2 linked regions of the Struthio camelus genome follow. The protein of the gene in region 1 purifies or fractionates together with the protein of each later gene. This does not show direct contact. Links are inferred from orthologs where the notes say so. Each region holds a gene or a part of one and is shown on either strand. Other genes may lie near its edges.

Evidence for each region.
Region 2: the proteins of TICAM1 (region 1) and TLR4 purify together in Homo sapiens (affinity purification with western blotting; 3 studies listed by BioGRID). This does not show direct contact. The link is inferred for Struthio camelus from reciprocal best matches to the Homo sapiens genes TICAM1 and TLR4.

What each region holds. Positions count from the first base shown.
Region 1 is NC_090967.1:4,656,564-4,666,953, forward strand, and holds the start of TICAM1 (TIR domain-containing adapter molecule 1), read right to left. Parts: upstream 4,742-10,390; 5' UTR 4,616-4,741; exon of another isoform or gene 4,253-4,615; intron 4,085-4,252; 5' UTR 3,773-4,084; intron 3,672-3,772; exon of another isoform or gene 3,526-3,671; intron 3,328-3,525; exon of another isoform or gene 3,244-3,327; intron 2,667-3,243; 5' UTR 2,520-2,666; intron 1,976-2,519; 5' UTR 1,762-1,975; coding exon 1-1,761. Other genes in the region: perilipin-3, read right to left, coding at 5,214-5,780, 5,865-5,993, 6,262-6,461, 6,996-7,794, 8,146-8,228, 9,140-9,335, 9,828-9,904.
Region 2 is NC_090961.1:9,277,329-9,286,836, reverse strand, and holds the start of TLR4 (toll-like receptor 4), read left to right. Parts: upstream 1-4,884; 5' UTR 4,885-5,056; coding exon 5,057-5,179; intron 5,180-5,992; coding exon 5,993-6,159; intron 6,160-7,529; coding exon 7,530-9,508.

The sequences.
Region 1 (10,390 bases):
GGCTTTCAGCTCACTGATCTTGCTGGGTGTAAAGGTGTTCTTTACTGTCTTGGAGAACACAGGGGAGTTCTCATCCAAGGACACCAGCCCGCTCAGTAGGGCGGGAATCTCCCTCCTCTCCAAGGGGTTCTCTCTGGGAACAAAAGGGATGACTGAGTTGTGCTTGGATGGTCGCAGGATGGACTCCATCAGAGCTGAGTTTGTTTGAAACATGCACAGCTGGCACAGGAAGTTCTTGGTCAGCAAAAGGATGGTGAAAGCAGAGTTTTCCATAGCATCTTGGAAGCAAAACAGCTGGCCACGTCCAGCAGTGAGGAAGTCCTCGCAGAATGTGGCACCATTGGGAACCCCCATGCTTTCCAGCAGCTCCTTGACCCGACAGGCAATGTCCACATCTTCACTAGCATGCAGGACAACAAAAGTGAAGAACTTTCTCTCTTCATCTGGCTCTGATGTGGATGCTGCTTCTGCATTTTGGACAGGAGGAGGGTAGGCTGGAGAGGAGGATGAATGGAAGGAAGAGGGATATGCTGAGTTGGGAGGAACTGCCTGAAGAGGAGGGGGAAGGGCTGGGGAGAAGGAAGGTGTATGAGGAGGAAGGGAACAGGCTGAAGTAGGAGATGTAGTATGGGAAGATGTACCTGCTGGAATATCCTCTGCAGACGTGTGGATGGGACCAGTGTGCGCTGTGGCTCTTGAATCAGGAAGACCTGTAGGTAAGTCCTCTTGCTTTTGGGCTGTGCCTTCTTTTGGTGCCTGAGGTTCTGCTGTCACTGTGCTGGAAACATCACTACTTTCGACAGGTTGGTTCACAGCACTCGGTGTAGGAAGCTGAATTTCAGGAATAGGGAGAAATGGATGACAAGAACTGGTCTGCAGAACCTCCATCTTTGGTCTGGGGACATGGGCGGTTGTGCCCTGCATGGGATGTGAATTGGTGCTGTTGGCCCAGCTTGTTTCCTGCAGGCCGTGGCTCTCGCTCTCCCTGGCAGGCTCTCCAGCACAGCTCATAGGCTCTGCACACAGCTGGCTCAGCTGGGGGACATGGTTACAGTGAGGAGGCTGGGTGTGAAAAACGGCTGTTGGCGATTCACTGATCTCAAAGTGACTGATGAAAGAAGCTGGGCTCCCCGAGGAGCGCAAGGTCCGTGGGCCTGAAAGGTCCGACACATTTCCGATCTGCACTGGGGAACTTCGTGCCACACGGTTTGGGCTGGCAGTCTGGAGAAATCCCGGGTCCGATCTCATCATCTGGAACCTGCCACCTGAACCCATAAAGCTGATAGCAGCACCACATTTTTCCTGAGCCTCAGCCAGGATGCTCTTCAGTGGTTCCCGCTGAGGGTTCCCGCTAGTGTCACAGGCCTTGATGGCAGTCTGGTAGGCTCTGACCATAGCTTCCCGACTGCACAGTTTTTCGTCTACCAGCAGCGAGTAGATCTGTGCCAGAAGCGCTATGGCATCTGCATCCAGCTGGGGGGGCTGCAAATCCTCACCGTCTTCCTGTACTCTCGCAGTGCCCAGTCTGGTCCTGTGGATATATAGGGCTGCCTGGTCGTTCCTCAAAGTATCCAGACAAATTCTTGCATCTGCTTCTTGCCCCAAAGTAAGCAGGACCATGGCTTGCAATAATTTGCTGCTGGGCTTAGATATCAAGTGCTTCAGTTTATGTTTGAGGTTAAGGAGTTTATCTCCTGGGATCTGGGAGAGAATATTAAAAATGTCTTCAAAGCTTGGCTGGACCTCAGCACTCTGTGCCATCTCATCAGCTGCTTCTCCAGACAATGCGCTGAAGAAGCATGGATGGAAAAAGCATATTACAGTCTCTAGAGCAAAGGTTTGTTTCCTTATGGTGCTCTCTGAAGCCCTGGTCGTACGTACTTTTAAGTACTGCACAAGGAATAGGTCCTTGTTGCTCACGGGCTCATCTCAGAGTCAGGGACAGTCTCTGCCTTGAAGAACTGGCCAGATGAACCTGTGAGTAGAAAAAAGGGCAGTGTTCAGAAATAGTGAGGCAGGGAGCTTGGGAGACTCCTCGAAAGGTTTGTAGATAAATATTTTTGCATCTACTTGGTACTTGCATATCCCGAGGCTTGTCTGAAACGTGCTCCACACATTATCCCAAGTCTATTATTAGGCAAACAGCAAGTCCTTCACGTTCGTTATATGTCAACTAAACTGTTTTAAAATAATTGCTAAACTAATACTATATTTAGGTAAATCCAAGTGTCCAGCTGGTTCATATCAACAGTCCATCTCCACCAGTGGCCTCTGTTGGGCAGGGGCTGATTGCAGGGGCCTCACAGCATCCTTGTAATGAGCAGTTAAGGAATAAAGCCCCGCTTAGAGGAAGCCTCCTGCCGATTACAGGCTCCGCGTCTTTTCAAATCGCTCGTACCCTGCCAGGAAGGTTTGTATTCCTTTCGCGTCCACTTTCAAGCTGTCTAATGTAATTGTGGACATACGCGTTATGGTCATATGCATCTAATCCCTGAACCCAGCTAAGCCTTTGCACTCACCAAAGCCAGCTGAACGGAGTTAAATTAGCCAGCAGCACTTGTCCGTAGAGCGAGGGAGGTCTGGGCCTCCGGCAGGTCTGTGGCAGGCAGGCGAGAAGTTGCTGAAGATGCACTGGCAGCGACTGATCCGTTTGAAAAAATCTTTCTCTATTTAAAGGAAAGCCAGAAAAAAATGTGTTTAAAAATAGCTCTCAACAACCAAACTTCTGGGGAAAGTTTGTAATTTCAAATTGTTTTTCTATCTCATAAAAATCCTCTAATTGCTTAATGAATGAGCTCAAGCTGAGCCTGAGGAAGTTGTTGTCTTTCTATGAAAACTTCTGATTCAGTGAAACATCTAAGGAAGGAAAGGAAGGGAAAAAAAAAAAAGAAAAAAGGAAGTCCAGGCATTCAAAAACAGTAGAGGAGACCTTTGACACTTATTTATGTTCTACCCCTCTGTGAGTCAGCAAAACCTCCCACTACTCCCCTAACTCTCTGCTCCCTCTCGCTGGGCATCTTGCTCCAGAGCCTGCAGCTTTGAGCTTGCTCTCTTGCACGACGAGCTCTTAAAAACCGGTGGGGAGCCGAGCAGGGCCCCGAGGCCGATCTCTCCCCCCTTCTGCCCTCCGACCCTCAGTAACGCTTCCACCTTCGCCCCCTCCGCTCTTCTGTGCCGCCTGCTCTTGCAGCCCTCCTCCCCGAGGCGCGAGCCGGGGCCAGCGCTGCGAAGGGACCAGCCTACCTCCGGCAGGGCCCGGCCGCCGCCGCGGCGATCCGAGCGGCTCGGCGGAGGCCGCGGGAGCTGCCCCGGCTCCCCCGGCGCGGGGCGGGGGGGGGGGGGGGGGGGGGATGCGGCGGCGGCGCCCGGGCAGCGTTTCCCAGGCGGGCCGGGGGCAGGTGGAAACGCGGCGCTCTCGGTTTCGCCGGGGCCGCGGGGAGCCGCCTGCTCCCCGACGGGCCCTGATGTCACACGAGGAAGCGGCGGCGCCCGGGAGCGCCGGGGCGGAGCGGTGGAGCGGGGCAGGGGCAGCCCGGAGCGGCGGGAAGCAGCGGGGGCGCCGGGGGGCAGGGGCAGCCCGGTGGCACCGGGGCGGAGCGGGGCAGGGGCAGCCCGGTGCGGAGCGGGACTCCCCCGGCCGGCCCGGAGGCAGCACTCGGTACCCGAGGCAGGTGGGTCTCGGCGCGGCTGAGCGGAAGGAGCCCCCCCGCCCCACCATGAGGTCGGTTATTAGCGGCCCGGGGCGCTAGCCCGGCCCTCTGCCGGTACTTACCCTCCTCTGAAGGTAGCACCGAGCAGCTGAGAGCAGACCCTGAACACGAACCTTTTTTGTCTAGCGAAAGTTTTGGTTTTGTTTCCTCAAAGCATGGGGGTTTGGCAGCAGTAGGAGGACAGAAAGATGGTTAAGGCAAGTCGGGTGGAGGTTGGAGCTGGAGACTGATGCAAGTAGGGCTGATGCTGGGAGTGGGGTGGGCAGAGCTGAAGCCCAGGGGTACAGGCAGAAGCTTCCAGGAGGCAGGACAGTCGAAATACTTTTCTACTAAAGACTGAGGCAGAGCTTGGGTCCAGCTCAGAGTGTTTAGTTCTAGCAAAGGGGAGAAAAGCCAGAGGGGAAAAGAGCAATTAGGAGATGAACTGCCTAGAAAAGTAATTCTTTAAAATGCTTCCTACAGGCTCAGGTTAAGGGGAGAAGATGATGCTATTGCTTGCTCATCAGAGCTGCTGCAGCCTTAGATACATGAGAGAAAGATATTCATGTGAAAACAGTCCAAATTTTATTTTGAAATCTGTTTGCCTTTTTCCATTTCTCCAGCATTAGCACTATTCACATACCAGGACATGGGCTACCTAAATAAGTTAGGCTAAGAATAATTACAAAAACATTATTTAGTGGGAAGAAAACAGGACCCATCACCCCTATTTTAATGACAAGATATCCCATAACCATGGTAGAGAACTCCTGGGAAAAGCTGCCTCATAAACCAGCTTCTTAATGGCTGCAAAACGTTTCATGCATGGAGTTACTTAAACACAAACAGACGGTCCTTAAAGTCACTTACATGGATTAAGAAAGTAATCTCACTGAAAGTTGGCATGCTCAAAAGAAAAATCCCACCTTGTAAGTGTTTCTCTGAAGGAAAAGTGTTTGGCTGCTCTGTAAAGAGAGGTCTCCTTTGGGAAGGACCCTCTTGCCCCCAGCTGTTCCTGGTCTGCTGCATGTCTCAGCCTCACAGGAAGTGGCACAGTCAGGAAGGAAGTAGTGTCTGTAATGCTGAGTTCTAAACTTGTAGCAGGAGGGAACAGTATCAAAGAGGCCAAGTGCATCATCCTCTTAAGATGCAGCTTGGATTAATTAAAAAAAAGCTCCAACATTAAAAATAAGTTTCAAGACCATTTCTTCTCTCCTACAACTCCTCTCAGCAAGAACTAGCCATTCACAGCTGTGCTGACTTATTTAAAAAGCCAAAATACAGGTCCCCATCTTCCCTTTCAATGCAGCATGCTTTAGTAAAAGGTATGCAACCTTTATGCCAGAATCAGCCCACCTTGGTTATCAAGTCACCTTGCAAACTACATCTTCTGTAAGCTCAGCTACATACCTCCAAAGCCTGGGATAGTGTCAGAGCAGGAGGCATTCCTGTAAGATTGGCAGCTGGGCACATGATTAAAAGAAGTTCTAGCCAAGGGGTTTGGGTTAGAAGAACCGGGATTTTTCAGAGCTCCTCCTCTGGTGCATTAGTTACTATCTCCTCTGCAGGTTTTGTCACCTCTCCTGTGCATTTCTCTACCTTCTCCTCCAACCTGTCTAGCACTTTAGACCCTTCCCCCAGGATCCTGTTTGCCCCCTTTGATTCCTTGGGGGCTTCAGCTACCTCCTTTGGTGACATACCCTTTTCCAAAGCAGGTGATTTCATATCAGTCATCATACTGCATTTCTTCTCCTTTCTGCTGTCTTGTGATACTTTGGCTGATGCCCTGAAAGGGCCCACAAGCCAGTTTAGAGGGGCGTTGAGAGTTACATATTCTAGCAAGTCATCTAGGGATCTTTGGGCTTCCCTCACACAGTCCTGGCTCTGGGTCAAGGTGCTGCCAGAGAGGTCCTGGAAGGACTTAGCACTGGAAAAAGAAGTGTGGAGCTTCTGGATGCTTTGAGTGGCTTGATGTACAGTTTCTTGGATGTTGCTGGGGAGGCCTTGAATGCTGGCTTTCAGATTCTCATATGCAGGTTGTAGCTGCTGGGTGATGATATGCAGCATAGCTAGGGTCCGTGACTCTACCTGCTAGGAAAGAATACAGCTCAGTTACTGTAGCAGATGAGATGCCCGCTATCCACAAAAGGTCTGATTACACCCTTCTAGGGATACCTCTGGTTGGGAGGCAGTTTTAATTTGGTGTCCCTTGGGTTGGGTCAGGCTCCAGTCTAGCCATAGCTGATGGAGCTTCTCCTGCCCGTCCAGAAGCTTCTGGCCAACCTCGTCTTTCACACGCTCTATCTGATGGAAAGAGATGAGGAACAGTTACATTGCAAGCACATACAAAGCAGCACAAGCGCTCCTGTCTGCTAAGCACTGGAGTCATGTTATAAAGAAGCAGCTTCCAGAATCACATTCTGCAGTGTTACCTGTCAGGGAGGGACTCAAAGGGACATGCAGCAGAAAACATACCTTAGGTGCAGAATGGAGGAAGCACCTCCATCTGGGTGCTAGCAGGGGGAAAGAAGACTCTGCGGAGTGGGATAGAAAAGAAAAAGGGTGTTTGTACCAGGTTTATTGCTAGTTGCAGCTGGGAGAGAGTATCCCGCGTGCTTTGCTTAACACGCTGCAGTTTGTTCAGGGAGTGCCGGTAGGCTCGGAGGCGGACTTTGTTAGAGAGGGAGCCCAGACGCACAAAGTAACTCCGCTGCTGTTTCTGCTCCTCCACAGAGGCCATATCAAATCCCTCAACAGCAGTGGCAAGTTGACCTAGAGGGTACAGAGATCCAGCTGTCAACAGATGTCTCTTCTCTACCCTGTGCCCCATCCCCTTTGGCCCTGGAGCCATCAGGGCAAAGCCCAGCTGCCTCTACCCTCACTCCTTTGTCTCCATGCTCTGCTCTCCCAGCTGTGAGGGGGAAAAGGTAAGATTTGCCCATTGTGAAACATGGGAGGAAGCTAAATCTCGCTGTATAAGTGGTAGGGGTTGGCAGTTGTTCAGAGATTACAACTAGGCCAGTCCCAGCTTGAAGGGCTCTCTTCAGATAAGCAGACTTGACAAATAGGTTGAAGCATGTACCCAGTTGTTGTTTGCCTTGAGGCTGATAGGCAAACCAAGGAGTAGCTAGCACGTGCTTGAACTCTGTCCTATACCACGTAGCACGTCAGTGGTGACAGAAAGCCAACTGGGTGATATTCAGAGCTACCTATCTGCTTCAAAAGATGACTCCTGCAGTGTCAGGTGCTCTCTAATCATGTGGAAAGTGATTTGCAGTTACAGCTACCAGCTAAGCATTTTCTTACCCAGCTCCTCCTCTGTCATGGGGAGGTAGTGATCCACCAGATCTTCTGATATATCCAGGACAGATTCCACACCACCTGCCACTGCTTGGCCCATTGCCTTGGCTTTACTTATGCTGTTGGTCACCATGAAATTAGTGAGCTCCACCCCCTCCTGGATAGCCTCTCTGCTGTGCTCCAGGGCTGTATTCATTTTGCTAGTTATGGTGCCATATGCAGCATCCAGAGCTGTATTGACTGTAGAAGTGACCATTGATTTAGTCTTCTCAACACCATCCTGAACAGCCTCTTTGGTTAGGTCTACTGCTTCAGTCACTTTGTTGGTTACGAGATCCTTTGCACCCTGGGCAGCCCCTACAGCCGCAGTAACAGTAGAAGCGACTGCGGCCTTTGTTAGTCCAACGCTGTCCTCCACAATGTTTTTAGTGAGGTCCACTGCTTCAGTCACCTTGTTAGTCACAAGATCCTTCGCACCCTGAGCGGCCTCCACAGCACTGACGATAGTAGAAGCAGCTGCTGACCTGGTCAGTCCAATGCTGTCCTCCACAATGTGTTTACTGAGGTCCACTGCCTCAGTCACCCTGTTAGTCACGAGCTCCTTTGCACCCTGAGCAGCCTCCATAGCACTGGTGACAGTGGAGGTGACCATTGACCTGGTCAGTTTAACACTGTCCCCAACAACATTTTTAGTGAGGTCCACCGCTTCAGTCACTTTATCAGCCATTGCTTCTTTTGCCTCACAGGCAGCATCCATAGCAGATGTCACTTTGGCAGAAACCAGCTGCTTGGTGTCTGAGATGACCTACAACAAGGTGAGGCAGAGAAAGATGATGCATTTTTCCAGAATAGGTTTCCCTCCCTCAGGGAGCTTTTCACATGGCTATGCTGTGCCTGCACTCTTGTGGGAAAGGTGAGGAAATCAGTACATCTGTATTCACATGGAAATCTATTTCCACACGCTGAAGGCAGAGCCTCGGCTTTCATCAGCTAGCAATGCCTTCTCTAGCTCAGGCAGCTGTAGCCCATATCCAGGAACTGACCTGACAAAGCAGCACTGCCCAAGTTAGTTTCCCCATATACTTCTGTACCCATAACAGTTATATCAAGCAAGAAGAGTGAGCCATGGCTTCCCTGGAAAAAGCCTTTGCTTTACCTTATCTGCTGGCTGTTGAAGAAAAGGCAAGTTCTCCTCCAGCTGATCCAGTCCCTTGCAGGCATATTCATTTACAAGTGCAACTAGACAGAAGGACAGGTACCAGGTTAGTCCCTCTACTCGAGTTTGGAGGCTTTTTTGATCCTACAATGGCCAATCCAGGATGAGCTCATGAGAGCAAATAAAGTAGATCATTGTTTGGGGTACGGGTGGTGGTCAGGGTCTCGCTAAATAGTCTCTTCGTTTTGCCTTCCCAGCCTTCTAGCAATTGAGAGCACATCGCTCCAGCCAGAGCGTGGTACTTGTTTCCAGTGGATAGGGAAGCGGATTAATGGCTTTTTACTGTCTTGGGATGAGACAAACTGAGCAAAAGGCAGAATAAACACTGATACTACCTGATGGGATATTCACAACTTGAAGCGATAGAGGCAGAGCAGGGAGCTTTTGCCTCTCCACTTAAAGAAGCCACAGATGAGGTCAAACTTGGCTTCTGCTAGTGACAATCCCTTATCCATCAAATTCAGTGGGCCTATGGAGTGGCTGGGAGCAGTGGAGGAGTCAGCAATACTACAAGTGTTGTAGGATGTGCTGTAGGAGATGTTACCCAGAAGGGGCATCACTTGCACCTTAACGAAGCAGGGGTATCATCTAAGCTCATGGTGGTTATCTAGGCTTTGTCACATAAGCCAAAATAATGTGGGAATGACTTTGCAAGAGACATGGTTTTAAGAGGAGACTTCTAATGTCATTTAGAGGTAGTTTACTTGTTGAAGACTACATATGGCTAAGAGAAAAAAGTTGATTTTTTTCCTCTTCCTTCTTTCATGAGGAGTGAGAAGTTTACCTCATGGCATAGGACTGGTACCTGATCCTGTTACTCAGGGTGTTTGCTGAGCCTGGTCTATGTCACCAGGGCCTCAGAGGGCCTGTGAGGCTCCCTTCCCACCTATCCCCTCTGTGGGGAGAGGGGGGCGTCTCCAGCCTCTTCACTTACTTTGCGGCTCAAGTTGGTTCAGAATGGGCTGTGCACCACCAACCACGCTGCCGACTGCGACAGCGGCCACAGTCTCGGCCACATTGCAGGCACTGTGGAGGCAAGGGTGCGTCTCCTTGGTGTAGTTGTAGGCAGATGAGACCAGGTTGAATGCAGAGTTCAGCAAGGGCAGGTTGGTCACCCTGCTAACAGCACTCTAAAAGAGAGAAATAAGTGATATTAGACACTCTGCCTCAAGTTGGTGAGCGAATGCAAACCATGTATAGATCCAGAAAGGTCCTAAGTGCTATCAAGTCCATCTCCTCATCGAGCTCACAGTTGAAGGGTCTTGTCTTAAAACCATTAGCAATCAGTGGCAAGCCAGAATTAGAAGCTGGAGCTCTGTCACATCTGAGTCATACAAGGCTTTAGTACCATCAAGCCCAGATTTGGAAATAGGACCTATACCAGCCAATGTTTCAGAATTATGTGCATTGCTTGAGCCAGCCCTGGAGTTCTCTTTCTTGAGCAAGAAAAGTCAGCCTCTGCATTAACTAAAGGTTTAGATTTAGTCATGGCTTCATATGGTTAATCTTTCCCCTGCTCCCAGCCTGGATTTGAGATGGTGACAGAAGTTAGTTTACCACTGTATCCGTTAGCAGGTAGTTTAACAGCTGCATGTTGGAGTACCAGCTGTCTTGGCACCTACCGCTTGCTGCTGTTCCTTAGCTTTTAGCGGATCATTTTTTGTGGTCTTTTCAGATGCCATAGTCAAGTCAGCTGCAGCTGGAAAGGAAAAAATAGGGTAACAGCAATAGTACAACTTAAGTTTCCACCAGTGAATTAAAATCTAGCAACAGTGGTGAGAAGCAGAGGGTGATGCATTTGGGATCAGTCATGGCCTAGGAGCTTCAGGGAATCACTAGTCTTTCTTGCAAAAGAGCGTGAAGATATTTGAGAGGCTTCATGATTTACATGGTCAAACACACTTGCACTAGGGACTGTACTCAGTCACCTCCCTCCGCCCCGGCAGCCAAGTGTTCTTAACAAGAAGGGGCCATCCTACTTATTTTATTGCTGGTAACATTTGACTGATTTCAAAATCACAGGCCTGAAAAAAAAAAACAAACAACAGTTCTCACCCACTTATCTCAGTGGTGTATTTCCTCTACAAGAGGGACTTCAGCTTCTCACTGCAAAGAGTCTTTACTGCCCCAGGACTGGAACGCTTGGATGAAAACTGCACGCTGCAGAAGTGGTGCTAATGGCGTG
Region 2 (9,508 bases), on another chromosome or scaffold:
CAACATCTTCCTGTCATGTAGTGACAAGTCACGGTAGTGAGACCATAAATATGAGGCTCAAGAGTTTTACCATTGGTCACTGCCTGTGGCAATGCTCTCAGTGCTTGCAGCAAGCAGGTCCATTACACAACTTTTTGAATTCATGTTTGAGAACTGGCTGATGTGCTTTCCCTTAAAACAGGGTTCTGTAACGTTTCTAAGTGACCACAATTCATTACAGATGCCTCTTGTTCCAACCTTTTCCAGAGTGGAGGAGTTATGAAGTAGGGACTTAGTGTTTAACCATGCTTCAGTGGTGGCCCTGAATCCCAAAAGTAACCTGTCTTGTTGTCTGGTTTGCAGTGGCATGAGTAGGAGTCCTGCCATGCAGGTCCATTGAAAGTCTGTGATTTGCAGTCCTGCAGGTCCTACACACATTTCTTGTTTGACAGTCTGAATGAATCCTTGCCCTACAGCAGACTCATTATTAATATCAAGAGAACTGGGGGAAAGAAGGTGGAATAAGTAGGATAAAGCAAAGCCACACTAATACAAAACATATGTAAATTAGGCTACGAGATACCATAATAAGGAAGTAAAAGGGGTGAAAGACAAGGAAAATGAGTCCTATTGTTGCTTGAGTAGCAAAAGCTAGCATCGATCTGAGCTGATAAATCCACCCTCCTCAGGGCTGCGAAAAGGCAGTAATACCCCTTCTGATCACAGTTCAATTCATGCCACAGCACTGTGAACATCCTTGCATCAATGGCAGCACTGCATCCCCAGCTCAGTGGACAGCTGAGGTGCAACAGTGATTAATCCTTGGCAGAAGGGCACAGCACTGCAGGGGGTCTTTGGTACCAGCCAGTCTCTCTCCAGGAGCGAAGGCAGATTCATTCTCACTCACTGTCTATCCATGAACACTTGGCAAGTAAGTTTGGATGCTTCCACCATCTGTGTGAAATCCTCCCAACCGTTTAGATTAAACATCGACTGCAGTAAAATGTAGGGCTCCAAACTGACCTGACATAGTCCATATGGAGTAGCTGCCACAGATAGTGACTATCTTGACACTGATTAATCACTTCTTCTAGTTGTGTATTTGTCCCTAGTTACCTGACACAGTTCTTCCCTAATAGATTCTGCATGGTTCTGGGGTATTCATGTGACCTTGGCTTTGGGGAATATCTCATCTGATGACACACATTACCTACTCTGATGTAGACTGTTTTTGATCAAACTGACTTGGACATTAACTTTTGATTTTGTTTCTTTCCCCTGTGTACACCAATATCTGTCCTTTACTGCAATGAAAGACACTTTAGCTATGCCAGACTATGTTTTGTTTTGGGTGGTTCTATATGGGTGTCACTTGCTCTGTGCCATATAGCATGTAGAGAGACTCTCTCTCCTTCCACCTCCATGTCCTTACCTGTCACTTACAATCACAGGCTTGACAAGCAATCTACATTGCTGGCACTCCTTGCTTTGAAACTAGTGGTTTAATGACCTGTAACTAGAGTCAAGCATTGCTCAAACAGGCAGTGGTGAAGCTGTCTAGTGATGAAGCCCCCCGCCCCAACTAATTGCAGAGTTTCTCTCTCAATCTGAACATGGTTCTGCTCTTCAGACACACAAAACCCTGAGCTGAAGGCAATAGGTCTTTCAGGCTGATCAAGTGTGAAATTACTACACCTGTTTCATATGGGGAAGCAGCACAAGCAAATGTTATAGGCACCAAGATACTGTAGTAAGGACCCTTCCTGATGATATTAGTGTCTCGGCTCCCTTGCCAGCCTCGGTATGGATTAGGGCCATCTCTAATCAGTGTCTATCAGGCCAGTCAGGGGATGCCACGCAGCTGCTGTATGAGGCGGTACCTAGCCGTTCCCAGGAAGCAATGTGCTTGTGGTACCCTTTGAAGCAAAAGGATCTCGAAGGCATCTCTGATTTTTTTTCATTTTTCCTTGTGATTTATACAAATTGTTTTTCCCAGCAGAACGGCTGAGAAAATTCAACATCCTGCTGAATTTTTGAGACATTTTCTTTTTTTTTTTCCTATCCACTCAGACAGCCTTTGAAATTTGGGCAGGAGACTGACTTGCTGAGCATAAAAAGTGACTGTGCATCAGCTAAACCTTGAGCACTCACTAGCTGGTTCCGTGTTCTGAGCCTAGACTCTAGCTGCAACACAAGGCAGTTTAGGCTTAATTCACTACATGTGACTGTTAAGCTGAGTTATGTTAGCTGATATTGTGCGATCTAGGAAGGCACACAAGGCCAGTGCTGCAACCCATCTGAGAGCAATACTTGGTTATCAGGTGTAGTGTGATTGCGTGCCTGAGACTTTTGGAAGGTCTGAGCAATAGCAATTAATCTGCATGTGATATCGGGTTAGCTGTGGCCTTGAAATCACCATAGTTACAACTATTTATTCATGTCACTGATATATCAGGACAACTCCGTTTGCCCCAGCTAACCTCATATTATAGAGTCCTAGAGATGGTGAGGTCCTCTTGCTACCTTTGCCTCCTTAGCAAGCTGCTGGGTCACTTTGCAGATGTTAAGAATTCATATACTGTTCAAATACTTTCAAATTTCCTTAATGAATGCCTGGAAGATATTACCAGCTGTATTGTCCAAGAGTTTTGCAAAAAAAATTTTTCAGCCAGACTTCATGATTATTGTTTTTTGTATACGAAAACACAAGATGCTTTGTCAGTCTGACTACATCATGGCCATCCTATGCCAGGTAATGCCTGACTACTCTGCTTCAGATCACAGAGGTTGAGTACATACTGTTTGCTGTTGTGTTACTTATATTATAACGTTGTTCAGGAGAGCAAAGCTTTCCCAGACAGGTGTTTTTAGAAACATTGAGATTTTCTGTAACCTCTCCTTTCTAAGAGATCTTTAATGACCCCACCAGTAAATTGCCAGCACAGTGAATCATGTGTCAATTTAGATGTTATTCTTGCCACTTTAAAGAATTCCACACAATACTTTTGTTTCTTCTGAACTGAAGGAGGCAATTATAGAGACATTATGGCTCTCTCCAGTCATTGCACATTGTTATATCCAAGCTGAAGAATATGAGGTTTACTGGCATTGACTTTCTAAACTGGTGGCTGGGTTTGATTCATTAGTTGCATGCTTTATGCTTGTGCTCCACCCCTTGTAGTTTGTATATGATTTGTCCTCGAACTAGTGATGATGTGCATTGTGAAACTATCCCCTACAGTAGAAGCAGCGTATTCTTTGAATGTCCTTCAAGTTGTACTTTCCACTTGACCCCTAGGCATGGCAGTTGGATGGATTTTGTGATCCTCCCAAACTCTCAAGCATCTTCAGTGGGTCTTCTTTCAAATGGTAATTTTAGTGCATACTTCAGGCTCATCTCAGCTTTAGATAAAAATTAAATGTGGATTGCTTTATTCTGCATATTGAATGCTAAAGGACACATTCATTTGTCCTCTCTGCAGACACGATGCTCTGCCAATTTCCTTAATCCAGACACAGAAGCAGTCAGCAATTGTTTCCTTTCACTTTTGATTCCATCTATAAAAGCAAATACCTGCAATCACTAGCGCCTTTTCAGAAAGGGGTTTTTGCAGAATTTGTACAAGTTTTACAAACTTTTTGTCTGCTGGTTTAATGGGTGCTGTCTGACTGCACATCAGGGTGTCGGTTTTAGCTCCCATTGTGCTGCCACATTTTTTTCATCACAGAGATCATCTGTTATTTTAGGTTTTCCCCATCCCTCAATGGCCCTCTACTGACCCACTACAGAAGTCCACTCTTCCCCAAATATTTTAAACTTTTCTTCGTAAGCCTGGTATTGCTTATGTTTTATATCATATCAATTTTCTGACTTTCATAAGTAGTCATTCCCTATTCTATCTTATTCTCAACTAGTATCCCATCCTCATCTCCCATTTTTGCATGTCTTCTATCTATATGTGTTAATAACATTTGGATCTCCAGTAACACTGCTTAGTTAACTACTGCTTAGTTATCTACAGAAAGATGGAAGTACTACCATTTATCAAGATGAAGAAAGGCAGGGAACTTTGTTAGAGGGCTCACAGCCTGTTTAAAGGGATATTACCAACTCTGGGGTTTTACAAAGCCTCTTCTAGAAACAATTGCTGTGTCTACACTGTGTATTAAGGAAGGTGCAGAGACGGTGCTCTGCAATTCATGTAGCAAAGCTTTAAACACAATTCAGGCAAAGTCAGGGCACACAGCAGCTCTAATCCCAGCTGGTGTGCTCATGCCTCTCCCAGTACACTCTTCCCAACAGCTCCCGACCAAGGGCAGGACACAGAGAGGCACAATGCCCTGTGCTCACAGCTGATGCAGGTTTTTCACTGCCATGCAGGCTGAGCCAGCACCTGTGGCTCTGATCCATGAATCTCCTGCCCTTCTTTGCCACTTGTGCCCTGCCACGTGCAGCTTTGTGCTTGTTACGGGAATAATTGCAAGGCTGAGGCACAGCCAGATGGATAAATCCTAAATGCACGTACGTAAGAGCTCGGCCGCAAATAACGCTGTTATTACCTGGCTCAAGAAAACATCTGCTCATCCTAAGTGCTACCCCACTCCTTGACAGTGTGGTATATCTGGGAGCATGGCAGGGGGACTAATGCAGAAAGTCATTCACTCTAACAGTGCATTCAAATTATGGGATGTGAAAAATGACCTTCCTGAATTTGGACTCAGAATTTCACAGAAGTTTCTGTATTTAGCCAGTTTGCCCTGAGCTAATCTGAGGCAATCAAGTCAAGTGACACACTGACACAACTCATATTCCTCTTTAATTTCTAGTCCAAACTCTACCTTTCATTACTTCCTTTTTTTTTTTTTTTTTGTTCTAATTTTTTAAACACGTAGCTGCAAGAAGAAAGATTTACTCAGAGCATGCCTAGAAACCAGGCAGCTACCAGTTTCACTTCCTTCGTGGTTCTGTGCAACTCTCAGTGACGAGCAGTGAGAAGCAGGAGTGGTGAAACACTCAGCATTTCAGGAGATTTCTTGCTCCAAGTCTTTAAGTTATACCCATGGTCCTTTCTCCTGAATGCCTGGCCTCCTGAAGATGCCCAGGAGAGGGGTTTTTCCCCTGTGGACACTCGTGGTGCTGCTGGGACTGATATTTGTTCCATCACAGCTGGCAGGCTGCCTCCTTGATCCCTGTTTGGAGGTATGTGATCTCTAAAAGAGTACAAAATCCTTCTGTTTCACTGCAGTAACTTTTCCGTCTGCTTGGGAGATTTGTGCATCAGATCTGTAGGGTTAGTCGTCTTATGAAAGCTCATGTTTTTACCAAGGATGTTACCAAGGCAATTGATATTTGAAGTGAATGTTGGTCTCAAAAACATCTGAGAACCAGAACCAGTAGCATGAACCATTTCTTCTTGTTGGCTTTCTGTACCTCTGAAGTTACTACAGTACAGCTAAGCTAGTGGATTATGTTGCCCTTCAGGAAGAAATCAAAAACGTATCTATTATTTCTGCAAAGTACAGTATTTTAGCCTGATCTGTACTGCAGAGCGGTTTCACCAGTACCCCAAGAACTTGGCAGTGATCAACAGCCTTTTGCAAACTTTTGCAGATACCCATTACTTACAGAACAATTTCTGTTAGAACTATCCGCTTGTCTGCGATGTAATAAAGCTGAGAGCTGATCTGGGACACGCCAGGCATCCTGTGTGTTTGTTTTTCTGGCTCTCTTGAAGGTTGCTGTCAGTTCATCCATAGCCTCGAGGAACATAGTCCTGTGGTTTTGCACCTGCCTCAATCAGCAAGAACTGTAGCTTTTCCTGGGGAATAAGACTGGTACTATTAAAGTAGGGGAGATGCTTAGGATACCTGAAATTATTTCCTGAAGCTCAAGGGCAGCTTATTTAGAAAAGAACTACAAGGTTACTCATTCTGTTCCCTGCTTTCCTGACCAATTTCCTGACCGTTTGTAAAGTGCAGGTATTGATTGTGATCAGATCTGTCACTGTTACAGGTCATACCTAATATAACTTTCAGATGCACGGGACTGAATATCTCTGGAATTCCCACTCAAGTCCCAAATACCACTCAGAACCTGGATCTCAGTTTCAGCCACCTGAAATCACTGAGCTCAAACTATTTTTTGTCAGTCCCTGAACTTCAGCTTCTGGATCTTACAAGGTAAGGGGCCCTTTCGCATCGATACAGGTTAATCTTGTTTCACCAGTTGGGCCTTAGGGGTTGCTTATCCTGGGTTTTTGCTGCTCTTTGCTGTTCATTCTCTTGCTATTGACTTCGCCTCTGTGTGTCTCTCTCTGCACAGGCCCATGGCCAAGTGATGTGCAGCTTTTAGTCCAGGTATTGGGTGCAGGCATTCTGCTCAGAGCTTGGCCTATCAGCCTGCCCCTGTGGGATGGGGTGGAAGAAGGAGGAGGAGGATCTTTTACTTCTCTCCAAACAAGAAAAATGTCAGACTTTTCACTGTTACAAAAATTCTGAAATGGAACATTTTAGGTGGGCTGTTCTTCTTTTCTCAGTTAAAAAAAAAAAAAGAACAAACAAAACAACAAACCTAGGTATATTCATTTTCTAAAAGGTTGTTTTAAAATATCAACATTTTCTTTTTGTCTTCTCTTCCCATATCTGGGGGAGGAGACGAGGGAAGCTTATTAGCAAATTTGAATAGATGTATAATTAACTTGAGACAAGATTTTCTCTGGGTAAACCACTTCACTGAAAAATGTCACTCAGCCCCATCACAGTTACAGCTGTGAAGTGGCTGAGTGGCAGAACAGGTTTACTGTAAGGCACTGGCTGGGCTGTAAAGCTAATTTTGCTTGCATTCATTCCAGAATACATTTGGCTCTTAAAATTTGGCTTTTCCCGTATAAAATAATCTTTAGGTGGCCCCCTTTGTTTTTTTCCTCCTCCTGTTCTCCTTTACAGCCAACATGGCCTGAGGACTGTCCCTGCTTAGATATCAACAGTAAAACTGTAGAATGAGTTGTGAGCTTTGCCACTGCCGCAGCACACTGGTGCCAGGGTGATGGCCTAGATGTGGCTGAAGTGACAGTCTAAAGGCTGCAAGTATGCAAGGTGTAAGGGAATGGTGTATTTGGTTGGCTCTGCCACCAATGATAGGCATCACAGTATGACTTTCACCTATTTTCACTTCTGTCCTTCTGCCTATGTGCATCTTGACCTTCACCATGGCTCAAGATTTCTTGCTTTGCAATTGAACTCCAGATTTAGGGAGGGAGGAGGAGGTGAGAGGAGGTTTCCTGATATGCAAGGATACCTTTTTTTTGGCTGGTTAATTCTGCCTTCTCCTGGGAAATCACAATGTTCACCTGTAGATTCAGTCTTGCGAGGGAGGTGCTGGGTTCAGGAGGACTGGCTCTGCTCTGCCCAGAGCACTGGAACCAGATGTACCTCCACAGTGAGGTGGATTCTGAGAGCACTGCTTTAGTGCTTAGAGCAATAGTGTCTGTGAATATATATTGAAAAGGAGAATGTTTCATGCACATTTATTCTCTTTTCCTGCCCAACAGATGCCACATCCATACAATTGAAAATAATTCTTTTAAGGATCTTTATAACCTTTCCACCTTAATTCTAACTGCCAATTACTTCAACTACCTGGGGCCAGCAGCTTTCTATGGCTTAACATCTCTGCAAAGACTTGTATTGGTGGAAAACAACATATCTTCTCTGACTGACCTGCCCATTGGACACTTGCATACCCTGCAGGAGCTGAATATGGGCCACAATAACATTGCTTCATTGAAGCTTCCCAAATATTTTGCCAATCTGACCTCTCTCAGGCACCTGAGCTTGCTCTCCAACAAGATCACGTATATATCCAGAGGAGACCTTGATGCCCTGAGGGAAGCAAACAGGTTCAACCTCACACTGGTACTTTCTTTGAATGATATAAAATACATCCAGCCAGGGTCCTTTGCAAATCTTCACCTTGGTGAGCTGGCTTTAAGGTCCTCTTTTGAGAACTTCAATGTGATGCATACTTCCCTTCAAGGTCTGACTGGTTTACATGTCAACAGATTAATAGTTGGAGAATTCAGTGACATTCAGAGACTGAGGAACTTTCAGAGTGGACTCTTGAGTGGACTGTGCCAGGTACAGATGCAGGAGTTCATCTTGATCTGTTTTAGGGATTTTGAGAATAACACAGACACTCTTTTTGACTGCATAGGCAATGTCTCCAGTATTCGGTTGGTGGACCTCCAACTAGATGATGTGTCAAAGGTTCCTATGTTCTCCCAAGTGAAGCACCTGGAATGCAAGAAATGCAAGTTTAAGGAAGTGCCTGCCATGAAGCTGTCTCTTTTTAAGGAGCTTAGAGTGCTTCGTATTACCAAGAGCAAATACCTCAATAGCTTCCGGCAGAAGTTTGAGCATCTAACTAACCTGGAAGTAATGGATTTGAGTGAGAATCGGCTCTCCTTCACCAAATGCTGTTCTCCTCTTTTTCTTGGGTCTCCACATTTGAAATATTTGAACCTAAGCTTCAATTCTGACATCAGCGTCACTGGAGACTTTACTAATATGAGGAATTTGTTAACCTTGGACTTTCAGCACACAAAGTTAATTGGTCCTGGCTCCTACCCTGTCTTTCTCTCCCTTCAGAAACTCATTTACCTTGATATTTCCTATACCAGAACTCATGTTAAATCCCAGTGCACATTTTGTGGCTTGCACTCCTTGCAAGTGCTTAAGATGGCAGGCAACTCCTTTGAGAACAACAAACTGGCCAACAACTTAAAAAACCTAACTCACCTCCACACCTTGGATATTTCAAGTTGCAAATTGGTACAGGTGGATCAGAGTACATTTGCCGCTCTCTCTGAACTAAAAGAGCTAAACATCAGCAACAATAAGCTGCTGAGCTTTGATCCTTTAGTCTACAAGCCTCTCCAAGCCCTCGCAGTCCTGGATTTCAGCCACAACCAGCTGACTGTCCTGTTGGACTCGGCCCTGGAAAGCTTGCCTGATAGTCTGGTCTTGTTAGACCTCTCTCACAACCTGTTCGATTGCTCTTGCACATACCTGAACTTTCTGAAATGGGTCAAGGAAAATCAGGAGATACTTCAGAATAAGGAGCTGATGATGTGCCACGTCCCCGCATATGTAAAGAACGTGAGTCTATCTAGCTTCGATCTGTCCTCCTGCCAGCTCAAAACAAGCACAGTGGCATTCTCAGTGAGTATGTCACTCGCTGCAGCTGTGTCCCTATTTCTAATTTACAAGTACTACTTCCAGCTATACTACTCATTGGTGCTGCTCAGTGGGTGTAAGCACTCTGCTGAAAGGGGGGACACCTATGATGCATTTGTTATCCACTCCAGCAAAGACCAAGAATGGGTGATAAAAGAGCTGGTGGAGCCCTTAGAAGGAGGAAAACCTCCCTTCCAGCTTTGTCTTTACTACAGGGATTTCTTACCAGGGGTACCCATTGTCACTAATATCATCCAAGAAGGTTTCTTGAGCAGCAGAAATGTCATTGCAGTCA